Linked DNA regions of Mus musculus: region 1 is reported to be linked to region 2. Evidence: microRNA targets listed by miRTarBase, many of them from high-throughput screens and not tested one by one. Region 2 holds a microRNA gene; the other region holds the end of a gene's coding sequence.
What was found. The annotated mature microRNA mmu-miR-34b-5p reads AGGCAGUGUAAUUAGCUGAUUGU and lies in region 2 at 2,038-2,060, opposite strand. An mRNA with a match to its seed (bases 2 to 7 or 8) in the 3' UTR can be bound and repressed. Matches are read on the target gene's strand: a 7mer-m8 pairs with bases 2 to 8, a 7mer-A1 pairs with bases 2 to 7 and ends in A, and an 8mer does both.

Region 1 (7,120 bases), not on the chromosome of region 2:
AAAACACTAGACACACACCTTTCTCCACAAACAGAGGAGCCAGCTAAATACTTAGCTCCCTCAGGCCCTAGAGGCCAATCTGATTTATGGCTGGCTTTTCCCCATGTGATGTGTTGTCCTCTGTCCCTTGCTAATCATGGGGGGTCTGCATGAAGGATGAGGGCTAGCAACTAGCTTAGCCGCTAAAGGCACTTGTCACCAAGCCTATTGTGTTTGATCCCTGGAACCCACATGGTTGAAGGAAAGGAGCGACTTCTCCAAGTTGTCCTCTGACCTCTCTCTCCAATATGTGCTGGGGTGTTCTGGGAGATTTGGGGTTTTAATTTTAGGACAGGATGTTGTATAATCCCAGTCTGGCCTCAGACTCACTATGAAGCCAAGAGACTGATTCCCCTCCCCCACCTCCCGAGCACTAGGACCACCATGCCTGGTTTATGGTTATGCTGAGACGAGCCTTGGGCCCCATATGTGTTAGATGAACACTTTACCAGCTGAGCCTTCCACCCCAGACTGCCTAGAGTGGGTGCTGAAGCTGGTGGGGGTGTGCCCCTTCTCTGAGAACTCGGGAGTGACACCCAGTGCATGTGGGTGAGCCGCTCCCTTGGCACTGAGGTCCTCGGTTGACCCAAGAGTGACCTTTCCCGTCTTAATGTTTAGGTTTGTCCACCCCCGTTTCGGGCCGATCAAGTGCATCCGCACCCTGCGAGCTGTGGAGGCCGAGGAAGAGCTGACCGTTGCCTACGGCTATGACCACAGCCCCCCGGGGAAGAGTGGGCCTGAAGCCCCCGAGTGGTATCAAGTGGAGCTGAAGGCCTTCCAGGCCACCCAGCAGAAGTGAAAGGCTTGGCACTGGGTCCCAGAGACCTGGAGTAGAAACTTGGATCTATGCACTACATTTATCTGACAACGGGACAACCAGGGACTATTCATGCCATGACATCACATCCTCTCACCCTGCGTTAGCAACGACTCTCTCTCTCTCTCTCTCTCTCTCTCTCTCTCTCTCTCCCCCCCCCCTCTCTCTCTCTCTCGCATACTAACTAGGTTTGACTGTATTACTCGTACCAGATTTAAAATTAGCTAGCCTTGCCACAACGCCCTACTGAGAGGTACTGTCGAACTGTAGACAGCATGATGTTCTTTGATGGTGAAAGTCTAAATCTGGACCGTGTTCAGAGATACCAAATGATGAGGCTGAAAAGGGGAAACGGGGTTCTTCAGTCTCTTCTTCTTCTTTTTATTTTTTTTTCCATGATGTTTTCTCTATGGCCAGTGCAAATGGTGTTGTCACCCTTGCATGTTGCCAACCGCAGGGCAGGAAGCAATTACATCTTTATATACACGTAGGGTCATTTGCCTTTTAACCTTTGATCTGTATCTCTTGCAGTAGAATGGCTTTGTTTTTGTTGTTCCTCTCCTAGTGACCCGAAGCCCAGTGTTTTGAGTAATTTCTTTAGCTTCACTATACTAGCTATACTTTACAAGAGAAAGCTTCCACTTGGATTTTGCATTTGTAGCAGCGTACAGGTCTCTCTGGTCCTTTCTCTGCCATTTCACTCTTACGTCCTGATATAAAGTCCTGGCTCCTAGGGCCAGACTGTTATTTATAGACTTACTATTCTCGCATGTAAACAAGGATATCTTTGCTTTCAGATGTGAGAAGAAATGGATTTACCTTGTTTGCATCAAGTTATGGAAGGGTTTTAAGATACACTTTCAGGAAGAAGAGAGGGAAGTTATATCTAAGCAGTTGTTATGGCAACTTTGCAGTATCTCCAGTAGTGTTGCTAATTTTTTCTTCTTCTTGGGTACACATTAATTGTACATAACCTAGTACAGTCTGGCTTGTGACACACACAGCTCATTGAATTCAAACACAATAGCCAGTGTGCATTCTAAGGCAGAATGCAAAATTCTCTTTGAAATCAGTGTCACGAAGGCAGACATGCTGATATCGATAGGTACAAATCAGATCTCTAGCTAAGGCTTCTCGTCACAGCGGATTTCAAAGCATTTAGCTGCTTCCAAGAGTTCACACCTGCGCGGTTAATCCCGCTAGCGTCTCAGCCTCCTCAAGCCATATGTAATCACAATTGCAGAAGTACAGAGAAAACCCCATTATTTTACTTTAGCACATTAGATCTGTAATGTAACTGGGTCGCTCTGAATGAATGCCGAGTTTGGGGAACACTCCCCTCCCCCAAGGTGTCCATCACCGAGAAGGCCTGGGAACAACAGTTGCTGAAGCCGGTAGCTGTCCACAGTGCTACCTGTGGCCTGTGTCGGTTTAGGCTTAAAAGCTAAAGCTTTCCAAGCTGCAATAAAGGGCTCTGGGAAAGGGGAGAGATGCTTGGGAGTAGGTGGAAATGGAGAGAGGAGACAGGTAGAGAGCGGTTTGATATTCTGTGGTCAGTTGCATCTTGGTCTTCACAACTTTCAGGAGTGCTTTATCTGGGGCTGCGACACAGCTTTTCCATCAAGAGCCCCAGGTGGAGAACTCAGCCCTCAGTTGTGATAGCCACCCCTGGGCTCTTTCACAAGCTTCCTGACATACCTACCGTCAGGCTCTGCACCCAGGTGACGATGCTGCCCGGGAGTGCTAGTCACATCCCTGTTTGAAAGCTTAAGGAGCGAGTTCCCTCGGGAGAAACGTCCTCTGGACTTTCGAGGAGCCTCCTGCAAAGAGGACTGAATAGTTTTCAGACTGCAAGTCAGCAGGATAGGATGGCTTCTATTCTGTAGAAAGACACCATTCAGTAAACTCTGACAGGAGGCTGAGTCTGTGGGTTCAGATTCTGAGAGGAGCTTTTCTGTAAATGTGCCCAAAGAGAGTTGGCTGCTTTGGGGAGAACAATGGCTGAACTTCAGTGACCAGATGAGAAGGAGGACGGAGGACGAGAGAACAGGTTCCACCTCCAATCGCCCAGGCTCACAGGATTTCACACCTGGGGATGGAACCTTAGCCTCAGTTGCTGTAGGGGCTCAACCTCTATCCTAAAGGGCTACTCTAGCAATCTCATCCAAATGGGACTCAAAAACAATTTGGGGGGGCTTAAGGGCCAGCAAAAAACGTTTAGCAGGTAAAGGTGCTGTTGGCAAGCCGATGGCCTGAGTTAAGCCTTAGGACATATATAGTAGGAGAGAAACAACTCCTGAAGGCTAGCCTCTGACCACACCCAGCATGGCACGCACCCGCCCCTCCACACACACACACACACACACACATGTGGCTGGGAAACCGATCTACTTTTCCCATCCCACAGTGGAGGAAGACACACTGGACTTCAAACCCAGCAGCAATGTGTCGGTGACCCTTAGACACAGGAAGCAGACCCTCAGAGCCGAGCCTCCCTGTCTCCCCTCGCCCTGGGTTCCTGGTGCCTTTCAGCTCCTTTTCTTCTGCTGTGTGAGAAGCCTGGGTGTGTGTGTGCAGAATGGCAGCCCAGCCGATTGCTCCACCTCTTTCCTTATGTCTTAAGTTCCTCTTCTCTCTTGCTGGACTCTGTGCCTTTCCCTGACTGTGACCCATTCCAGTCACTGCCCCTGCCTCCGCCTTCTCTATCCCTCTCCCTCCCTCTTCCTTTCCCTCCCTCTTCCTTTTACTCCCTCTTCCTCCCTCTTCTTCTCCCTCTCCCTCCCCTCCCCCTTCCCTTGCTTTCCCTTCCCCCTCCCTCCCCTTCCCCCTCCCCTTCTCTCTTCCTCTCTCCAAGTTACCAAGCATAGGTAACTTGCTTAGTCATAGGTTGCAACTGTTAAAGAGGCCAGAACCTCACTGTGGAGAAGAGAAGCAGACAGCATAGGCGCTGCATAGAGAATTAGCTGCTGAGGGAGGTTGGGGTTTGCTCCTTGCTTGAACCAAAACAGAAAAGCCTCCGAATGTGCCTTCTACTGTAGAAGGACATAGGAAGCGGGCAAGTCTGGTCTTCTCTCAGGATCATAATCACAAACAGCCATGATTGAGATTCTGTGTGGTAGAGAAGAAAAAGAACTGTGCGCTGTCTTCCTGACAGCTGGCGCTTGTGGGCTTACCTGCCTGACGTCAGCACGGGTCTCGAGAGGCCTCATTCAGAGCTGTCTCAGTCCAACCCTGCATGACTTGACCCATCTTTAGCATCTTTCCTATGCTGAACTATTATTGCCTTGTGTTAGAGTTAGGAGTTAGGACTAGGAACTAATCCATGGAGCACGTCCCCCCTAACTGGGGCATACGCTGGAACTAACAGAAGCAAAAGAAAGAACTGAAATTAGGACACAAAAGAATGATAAGGTTACAGAGTAACAGGCGGAAGACTTGAGTTTCTTAGTACAGATTCTTATTTTAATCCTCTCAATCCCTGACCTCTCCAGCAACTAAAAAGGAAACCTTTTTTTTTTTTTTGTCAAGGCCTCTTTGAACCTGACTGGGACTAGAGTTCAGCCTCATTCCCCTTTGGGGTTCATCAGTCTTGAAAAACTGTTTCCTTATCACCAACCCTCACACACACACACACACCCACACACCAACAAGGCCATGTAATCATTTACAACATTTAATTGTGACAATTAAAGTTGCGTTGAGCAGCAAATACAGCTCAAAGTCCAACATCTGCCTAGCAGCTAGAGGCCCTGGCTTACGTCCCTAGTACTGGGAGTGGAAGGGTCAATTGTGAACACTGAAATAAAAGGTTGTCTTCGTGAGACAGTATGTGACACTTTTATTAATTTTACTTAATTGGTTTAAGAAAAAAAATCTAAATTTCTCACTGCAAAAATGCACTTCTACATTTTCCAAGAAGGTCAAGAGTTCTAGGCTTTGGTTATTCTCAAACAGCCACCTCAAATTCTGTCTTCAAAGTAGAGATTTAGAATCCAGACATCTTTTATTTTAGACAAACAAGCAAAACTATGTTGCAAGATGGAGAGTCGCAATGTTTCTTTGCTGCAGATCAAAGGTTCACAAATATCTTCAATTTCCAGGTACAGGGAGGTACCTTGATAGATTCCCGCCCTGAGGCTTGCATTGCTGCAGCGGGGCAGCGGGGCTTGGATTGCTTTCCCTTCTAAAATTTTAAGCTTTGGTGTCAGTGTTTTTTGGGTTTTAGTTTTGGAGGGTTGTTTTTGGTTTTGGTTTGGTTTTGCCGGGGTTGGGGAGGGGAGGGGAGGGGTGGTGATTTTTGTTTTCAAAAAGACTCAATTTTGTAAGTTTTATTTTGCCAAACATGTGCATACATATTCAAAGCAATGAAACTATTTCAAGCCATAAAGCCGCAGGGGTGGAGCCCTTTCCACAAATTTTAATGTGTTTGTATGTAAATAGCTGTTTGTATGAAATATTTTCATGGTAGAATGAATATATTTAAATGAAGTTGAATTATTCCAGTGCTATTTAAACACAGGACAAAAATTTTTGGTGAGAATTATCTGAGTCTATTGAGATATAATGCAGATCAATTTTCATTTTTAGAAATCAAAAAGCCTACAAACCGCTCTGACTGATGACCACCTCCTGGTGGGGTGGCGTCCGATGTGAGGTAGGCTTCCCCAGTGCCTCAGCCGCTTTCTGGTGGTAAGTTCGGTGCTAAAGGAGACGTGTTTACCTTTTAGTGATTCCCGCAGGCCTCTGAGGGGCCTGAGAGCGAATCGAGGCGTTAGAGACACCGGTGCAGTTATACGAGCACAATTATTTTTGCAGGGCAGCAGAATCAGAAGCCAGACTTGTAAACCTCGGAGCTGGGTTTCCCGGCTACCTTCACTCGCCACCCCTAACTGCCTAGTCACGATGTCAGGGAAGCTACCCTCAGTGGAGTTGGGGTCTGGACCCCGGGGTGGGACTTCACAGAGTTACCAATGCTTTTTGCCTTCTGACCTCCCTCTCCTCGAGGGAGGAGGCGAGCAGCCGCTGGCAGGGGCCATCCTCAGCACAGTCCTTATCCAGTCTCAGCTCTGGAAGACTATGCATCTAAGCACCCGACTTCAGCCAGAGAGGGAGACTTCCGTGGATAATGGAAACCCTTGATTCCTGTCTGTGATTTTACACGCAGTTGTTAAATGTCATTTTAATATGAAGACCATTCATGTACCTAATACCTTCCAACTCTTGAGTTACTGGAAAGAAAAACAAAACAAACAAACAAAAAATCCTTTACAAAATGATATTTCACTTGAGTGCGTTCCCCAACCCACCTTTGGCCCTGGGTTATAACAAAACAATAATCTGACAAATTTCACTGTGTACGCTAGCAATATGAACACTGAGCCAGTGCCCCCTTACCTATCTACTTGGTTACTATAATTATTCTTGATGCTACAGGGGCTATGTACGTCACACCTGGTGGTTGCATAAGCGAGTTATGAAGTTATGTCCACGATTCTTGGCTCCTTTCTTCAAATGTTTTCTTTTTTTTTTCCTCTTGGTTTTTCTATGTTCTCTTTCTATCCTACGAGGCATTTTCTTGGGTTGTGAGGTACGTTTATGGAGTGGAAGCCAGGGGGTTATGCTTTCGGCCTTGATTGTAACCAAAAGTCAACCCATCACAGTTAAAAAGAAAAAAAAACCATCTTTGGTCTTTTGTGGAATTTGAACTAAATCTATGAGCCTTATTCAATATATAATTCTATGATTTTTTTTTTAATTACGGGAAATCAATGGAAGATGTTTACATGAGTAATGTTTGCCCTTACTGTGTTATGAATGAATTTTTTGTAGTGTGTCTGGGCGCATGTGCAAGAAAGTAGGAAAAATGTTTCTGAAACAAAACTTGACAAATATTTGTAATGAAAAGTAAACTTAAAGATTGCTATAATTGCGCTATAGAAACAATGCAAGTATTAAACAAAATATACAATCTCCTGTTGTCAGTTTTGTTTTGTTTTGTTTTGTTTTTTAGTTGTCTAGGCAAGAAAAGCAGCAACAGTGCCCATAGACTGTGCCTTCCTGTGTATTTAAATTACTAAATGAACTTTACATTGGAAGTTTGTTTAGAAATTCTTAATACAGGGATGGGGCCAAGGTGACTCAGTGGTTTAGATGACACACTGCCTGGGCCTTTGATCCCAACACTTGGGAGGAAAACACAGATCTGAGTTTGAGGCCAGCCTGGTCTACAGAGGGAGTTTCAGGACAGCCAGGGCTACACAGTGA
Region 2 (7,120 bases):
GAATTTATATGTAACAATGAGATCCTTTACAGTGGAGAATTGCAGCAGTTTTAGAATTGTTTGTGTATTTGCATATACCTATTACTGCCTGTTTCTGCTTGTTTGTACTTCTCAATTGACTGACAATTAGACCAGGCAGTTTCCCCTTCCAGGAGGTAGCCTTGCTACTCACCTCTCAGAACGACTTTAGAGTTCCGCGCCACCGGTAGCCTCTGACTGCTGCCTCGGGTCAGCACGAGCTGAGATTCGGTAGTGGGGTACATGGACGCCCCGAGCCAAAACTGCTTAGCCAAATTGGCATCCTGCTCAGAGCAGCCGGTGAACACCAGTAATCCAGGGGAGCAGATTTCCTGGGATTCCTTCCTGCCGCTAGGACAGCCTCTGGGCCCCGTTTCCATGGTGACTCAGGACGCTTTCCTTAGCTCTGGCGTCCCGCCCCTACCGGAGAACCGTCCTGTTGGTAACTGCCACCACCGGAATGCCTGTGTTTCTTCTTCCGTAGATCTGGGGTTCCTCGAGGGCTTGTGGCCCATCAGCAGCTGGCTTCTGTCGAGGTCACAATTTTCGGGGCCAGTCAAGCCTTAAGAGTAAAAGCCTCAACTTTGTGATGTGTACAGTCCTGGACTGTCTCTTAGATCCTCAGCCAGCGTCTCCTCCTCCCCCAGATAGCCCAATAATGTGAGCTTTAAAGAGCGCCTTCCTCTTTTGGACAAGATTGCCAAGGCTTCGCACTCTTACCTCTGGGGAAATTCTCAGGTTTGCATTGATACATCTGCATAAAGCGCTAATCTAGAACTGGGCCGAGAAGTACCGGTGGATACAGCTTGTGTGATTTAAAACCTCTCAAATCTTTTATTACAGATATTAGGAAACCAGCTGGTTTTAAATCGTGTTCACTAATTATTCCCACGAAAAGTTGCCTAGAACGCAACTGTTAATACCTTAAAAAATATACCTGGTTAAGTGGGCTGAGTTCCCTTGCCCCATGGAAAATTATGAAAACATTTAACGTTCCCTTCCAGGTCACAATCATGTGTGAGACGTTTCCCTGGAGATTTTGTCTGTATAGCAACTAACCATTTAATGACTTTACGGGGTTGACAGGAGCTGAAATGGAGATCCTAAAGCCAGTTTTTGGAAAGGAAATGAACACGATTGCTGAGATTTTCGTGGCGCTTTATTTTTTAGAGTGTTATTAATATGTCAGGCAAAGTCCAAAGATTTATAATCACAAGTCAATATAATGACCAAATCAGCTAAGGGATAATTTCTATTTTTCCAATATATCTAAAAATCACAAAAAATGTACCCCACACAAATTGATACATTGTATACTTAGCAGCTAAGGGCTAGCGGTTCCCCCCCCCCCCCCAAACCACTAATAGTATGGTAAGAATATTTCCCTATGGCTCTGTCCTCACCAAAATGACGATTCACAGGAGGCTCAGTCGGAGGAATTTCAGTCTTTTTACCTGGCTGTGTGGTTAGTGATTGGTACTATTAGCAATCAGCTAACTACACTGCCTAGTAACTAGACTCAGAAAAAAGCATGCAGTCTTTAGCTGGTGCTCTCAGACTTTGGTGTGACCAGAGCAAATCGTCAGCCAAGCTGTGGTTGACTCTAGTCGCTGCCTTGGTGATAGCTTTCTCAGAAGTGGAAATCAGGCAGTGAATCACAGCAGCAGCAGGAACTGTTCTGGGGGGGGGGGGGGGGGGGCTCTTCCTGGCCTTTTTTTTTTTTTTTTTTTTTATGTTAAGGCCGGTGTATACCGATTCTCTTTACACATCACTGAACCGTTTTTGCTCTGGCTCTTACACACAGGTAGCCGAACGGTCCCTAAAGGAGGCCGCCGGTCTCCGAGGGTTACTTGCACTTAGACCTCGTGCTCCCGGCCCTTTGCTGACGCATCCTGGCTCCGGCCTCGGCTTTCTGCGGAGTCAGTGGGGCTGCAGCGCTGGCTTCTCCTCCCGCGGGCGGCGGGTGATGCTGTGCCTTGTTTTGATGGCAGTGGAGTTAGTGATTGTCAGCACCGCACTACAATCAGCTAATTACACTGCCTACAAACCGAGCACCGGGCGCCCGCCACTGCAGCTCCCGAGGGTCGGGCCCCTCGCCCCCTTTCGCCACGGTCGACAGGCGAGGGCGGCGGAGCGAGAGGTGCCTCAGGCTCCCGAGGCCCCTCCACACCCAGCAGGGCCGCGCGCGACCCCAGGTGAACCCCCAGGCGCTGAGGCCCCCTGTCCCCGCCGTCCCCCCCGAGACCCCCGACTCAGCCCGGACCCCAGGGCATCCGGCCCGAGTCCTTCTTCCCGCAAGCCGGGTCTGACCCGCCTCCAACAACTTCTTCACGGCTTCCAGACCCAAGTCTAGAGCCGGTTCTGTCCAGCCCGCGCGCCCCGCAGCTCCTACTGGCCGAGTGACCGTGGCTCAGCGACCAACCGCCCTTGGAACCCCGAGGCCGAGGGGGCGGGGCGAGTGGGGGAGGGGTGGCAGAAGCTACCAGAAGGGGCAATGGGAGGGCTCCTGCAGAGCCTCCTGGGAAGGGGCCGGGGAGATGGAGAGACAGATTCTTGAGAAGTTTATCTTCACAGTGTAGTTACTGCTACATCGAAGAAAGAAGCGCAGAGACCTACATCCATCTCTCCTTCCCAATATATTGCCCAAGAAGCCCCAGGCCTCCTCACTGTTCATATGCCCATTCTCAGAAACCGCTTCCCAGGCGTCTCATCTGGAGCCTTCCTGCCTGAGCAGGCCTGGGCACTCATACCTGCAGGATTGCCCTTGCCTGTACCCAAGTTCTTTCTTAGGACTACCTCTTACAGGGCCATACAGTGAAGTGTGGGCCACTCTTCTGGTCAAACATTGAACCAACACCCTTGTTGGTAGGTCAAAGTTGTGGCCCTTATAAGATCAAAGACACAGTTTTGATGATCTCCCCGTGAGCCTTGAGGATATCTAGTCTCACTTTGGGCTCCTGTTTTATTTAAATGTTACAAATCCAGCACCTAACAGGCGTTTGTCTTACTACCCATCAGACAGTCTAGGTGGTAACAAAATGTGAACACATTATTTATTACTCCAGACAGTATAAAGTTGCTAAACTGATAGATTTTCCTAATAGAAAAAAACAGGTATGGGTGGGGGTGGGAGGTGTGCCAACAAGAGCTGACAGACACCATCATGGAGGAGGTGAGAGTTCAGGTAGATCCTTGAAGCAAGGGTAGATTTGGACATTAAGGATGAGGTCTGTAGAAGCCCGAGAAGCCATATCTTCTGTCAGTTACATTCCCCTTGTTTTTGCTATTTTATATCTGATAACGGGGTGCGTGTTTGTGTATATTGGGAATAGGAGGCGCTGAGGGGACAGCATTTCTGCGCCATCTTCACTAATATTTCTTTCCTTTAGTCTTTCCTCTCCTTTCCTTTAATTAATTGAGCCCAGAGAGGATATACAGTATTCTCTGATTGCAAACTTTGTGGAATTCAGTAGGAAGTAGCCGTCCCAGACTGTGGTCTTCCTGTATGCTGTATGACACCCATTTGTATTGATCCAACAGTCTTGCAGTCTACAAAGGGACATTTCTTAGCTATACACTGATACCTGTAAGCCCAGCAAATGGTCTTGTAGATGCCACTAATTACATGAATATATGCCAATCATCAGGAACATTCAACACAAATTCCAAGTGGAAACCATTAAAACCCAAGAACTTCCCAAGAATAAACTTGTGTATATTTTAACATTATCTTTGAAAGTAAAAGACAATGTTTTTTTCCTTCAGAGTCATTGTTTTATGAAGGCTTAAGTGAAAGGAAAATGAAGTAGAAAATGCCAGATTATTATAAAATTAACTTATGAAAGACATTTGTAAATAACTATCTTGTATTCAGTCTTCTTGTATTTGAGAAAAGTATAATGTATCCTACAAAAGGTCATTTAAACGTTCAAATATAAATAAAAGTAGTAGAAATAGCCTCCATCCCATAAACACTATGAAGAGTTACAAGTTTTAGGAGGACATCATTAAAAAATCATTTATTTTGCATTTTGCTCAATTTCACTCCATGTGTCATGCTTCCACCCAGCTTAGGGATTTTCTCTATTAGTAGCATCTTAAATATCTTACCTGAGTTTTATTGCTTCCATCCAAAGCTATCATTGCATAAACTGTCTTGAAATTTAGACTAAATTTTTTTCTTCAATGATAAAAAGTAAAATGATGAAAAAAAAATGCGTGTGCCCTAGTTCTGTTAGAAAGCAACAATAGAAAAGAATGTCTGTTCTTAGGGTTGCTGTTGATCCTGCCCACAGTTACTAGAGAAACTCCAAGGATCTTATTGCATCTGCTGGTCATGCCTAGGCATGTCTAGAGACCAGGGAGACTCATGTTTTAATCTAAGTAAGAATGCCTGTGGTGTGGTTAAAATGCCCAAGCAGACCATTACATTTGGTTAGATAGATCCAGGAAGGCACCTTGAGGAGGAGCTGTTTACTGCTTTAATTTCTGGGTTTTTGTTGATCTGGGAGATGGGGTAGGACCTTTGAGGAGATGGGTTGATAGTATTGACCGGAAGGAAACCATGAAAAGTATCAAAAACAAGAACTTCCTGCGTGAATCTGACAAATTTATCTTGACTTAATTTATGACTCCTGTAAAAGGGCCATCGAGAGATGACTTCCTCCTGTCAGTACACACAGCACATCGTCTGTACACGTCCTCTTTGTTTTTAGATAGGGACTCAATTAGCTCAGGCTGGCCTTGAGCTCTTGTTCTTCTTGATACAACCTCCCAGTTGCAGGCTATTTCTGCAGCATTTGAAGGTTCTTGTTAGGGAGGAAAGAATGAAGGACACTAATTAGAAAGCAATGATCTTTAGCCACTTCTTTTAAAACATTTCAAAAATGCATACTTTCCTAGGAAATAAAACCATGCATTTTTTTATGCAGACTATCAAATGTCAGATGACCATATTAATATTCACGATAGTATGCTTAGGAACTAGTTTATAAGTTGAAGCAAGGCTGAGTTGAAGTCAATTTAGCCCTTGAATAATTACAAATCAATGAATCTGTTTAATCATAGTGGGTTGTCATCTGAGCTAGAATGAACTGCCAGCAGCTCTATACCTCTGGTTTCAACTCAATGAACTCTCATTAGGAAAAGTTCTCAATTAGCTTCTTGTTTCCATTTCTCAATTAACCAATAGTTTTGCTTTCAGTATCAAATGTTAATTTACTTTTTTAGGAACAATCTAACAAAAATAGCTTCCTAGTTAAGGTTGATGGAGCTCTTACTCCAGAAACAATTCTTGTCTATTTCTCATCTCTAGGGAACAACAGTCTCCAGAGATGTGGTTTAATTGGAGGGATAGACAGTTTGTTTGTATAGATAATTAATATAGTTAAATTATGTTAATCATATTAATGCATCATAATATTAATATATAAATTATTATATTAATGCATAAAATGTTTAGATAATATATTTATATCACATAAAATATATTGAATGTCTAAGTACTTAGATTACTAAGTGCTTAAGAAATCTTGAATTCGAGTGCTGTTATTGTTAACATTTGGGGAAAACATAATTAAAAAGCACCAAAATATGGGACAAAAATAGGGCTATATAGAAAAAAAAACCAGCATTGACTGAATTATAGTAGGAGGTAGGCATGAGAGACTAGAAACGTTAGCGTAGGGAGTTTGAATATCATTCTGGCTCTCGGAGAGCCCCTGATGCCTACAAAGTGTATGTTGTTTTATGGGGATTAAAGTATCATGGATTACAGAGGGGGCTGAGCTTCAATGTAGGAGATGATTTTTAACAGATGCACATATGGAATGATAGAGGAAATACAGAATAAGGGATTTTGTGAAAGAAAATGTTTAGGACTTGATGTCTGATTAACCATTTAACAAGATCAGCTGCTAACTCCAGGGACAAATTTGAGGAGCTGAGGGAAACAGAATCAGAGGATGTTTATAACGAGTTGAGTTTGGGTCTAAGCAAGGCTGGGTTTGGGCTATGGATGAACATCATAATGAAGGTAAGTATTTAAACTGGAATTCTGGAAAGAAGTCAGAATTAAGAAGAGGGATTAGCAGTTTTCTGAAACTGTGAAAATTAAATCAAAGAGTTGAACAAAGTCCATGAAGGGTGTGGTAGCTTATTCTTGCTTGTTATAGTTCTTTCAGGAAGGAGGAAGTAAGTGACCAACAGTGGAATGCCCTCCTCTCCTTTTTAATCCTGGAATGGAACCCAGATACATGTTAAGTAGATGGTTTTCTCCAAGGTGCACGTAGACAGATGAACTTCCCTGACTGTAGACTGGCTCCTGCCACTTTAAGCAGATCTCAAGTAGATTTCCTGGTTTGTAAAAGTAATTTTGGGGTTTCAGAGTAGCTAGCTGGTTGTCTGAGTGTGTTGCTGAAGAGTTCATTTTCCTTAAGAGGTCCTAGTAGGTATTCTTAAGTCTGTGAAGCCCAAATAGGAAGCTACCTGTCAACTAATCTATTTGCAAGCATGCAATCAGTGTCTGCCTTTCTCAGAGGCGTCACTTTGTGCACAGTTATTCATTGCAGTTGTTTTTACTGTCCTCATTGAGCACTTAAGACTTCTTGATTCCTGTATCGAGCGTGCATATAGTTTAACAATTATACAACTCATTTCTTTATTTTCTCTAACTCATAACGTGTATCTCAAGGATTTCATTGTGTTTATATTTAGCTGAACTTATGTTGTCTCCTCCCCTCTTGGTCCATCCACAGCGTGTTTAAAGCTCAGGCCTATCTCCAGGAAAAATATCCCAAGGTGCCTTTAGAGCTCATCTTCTTTCTGTTTCTTCTTCTCTACTTTCTCTTGAACTCAATATACTCAGTTTATAGTTAGTATCTTCCATTAATAAACATATCAATCACCAATACTTTCCTTACTTGATTAGGACAGCATCCAATGTTGTCACACATACAGACACATTTATTACATCAGTGCACACTGTGTGTATAAACAGTTCTGCACACTCCAGTGTCACACATACAGACACATTTATTATGTCAGTGCACACTGTGTGTGTAAACAGTTCTGCACACTCCAAATTACTTTTACCTTAATGTCT

Region 1: the mRNA of Setd7 is a reported target of mmu-miR-34b-5p. Seed matches in the 3' UTR shown: 7mer-m8 at 3,536-3,542.

Annotation. Positions count from the first base shown.
Region 1 is chr3:51,515,025-51,522,144 of GRCm38, reverse strand. Setd7 (SET domain containing (lysine methyltransferase) 7) reads left to right here. Exons shown (of 8, transcript NM_080793.5): 8 at 658-6,827. The coding sequence ends at 838. Among named protein-coding and RNA genes, the nearest start is that of Gm36008, 7.6 kb to the right of the region's middle.
Region 2 is chr9:51,101,573-51,108,692 of GRCm38, forward strand. Mir34b (microRNA 34b) reads right to left here and starts at 2,073; the gene lies at 1,990-2,073. Hoatz (HOATZ cilia and flagella associated protein) reads right to left here and starts at 506. Exons shown (of 6, transcript NM_177702.4): 1 at 173-506. The coding sequence starts at 398. Mir34c (microRNA 34c) reads right to left here and starts at 1,538; the gene lies at 1,462-1,538. It also overlaps a transcript of Btg4 not described here.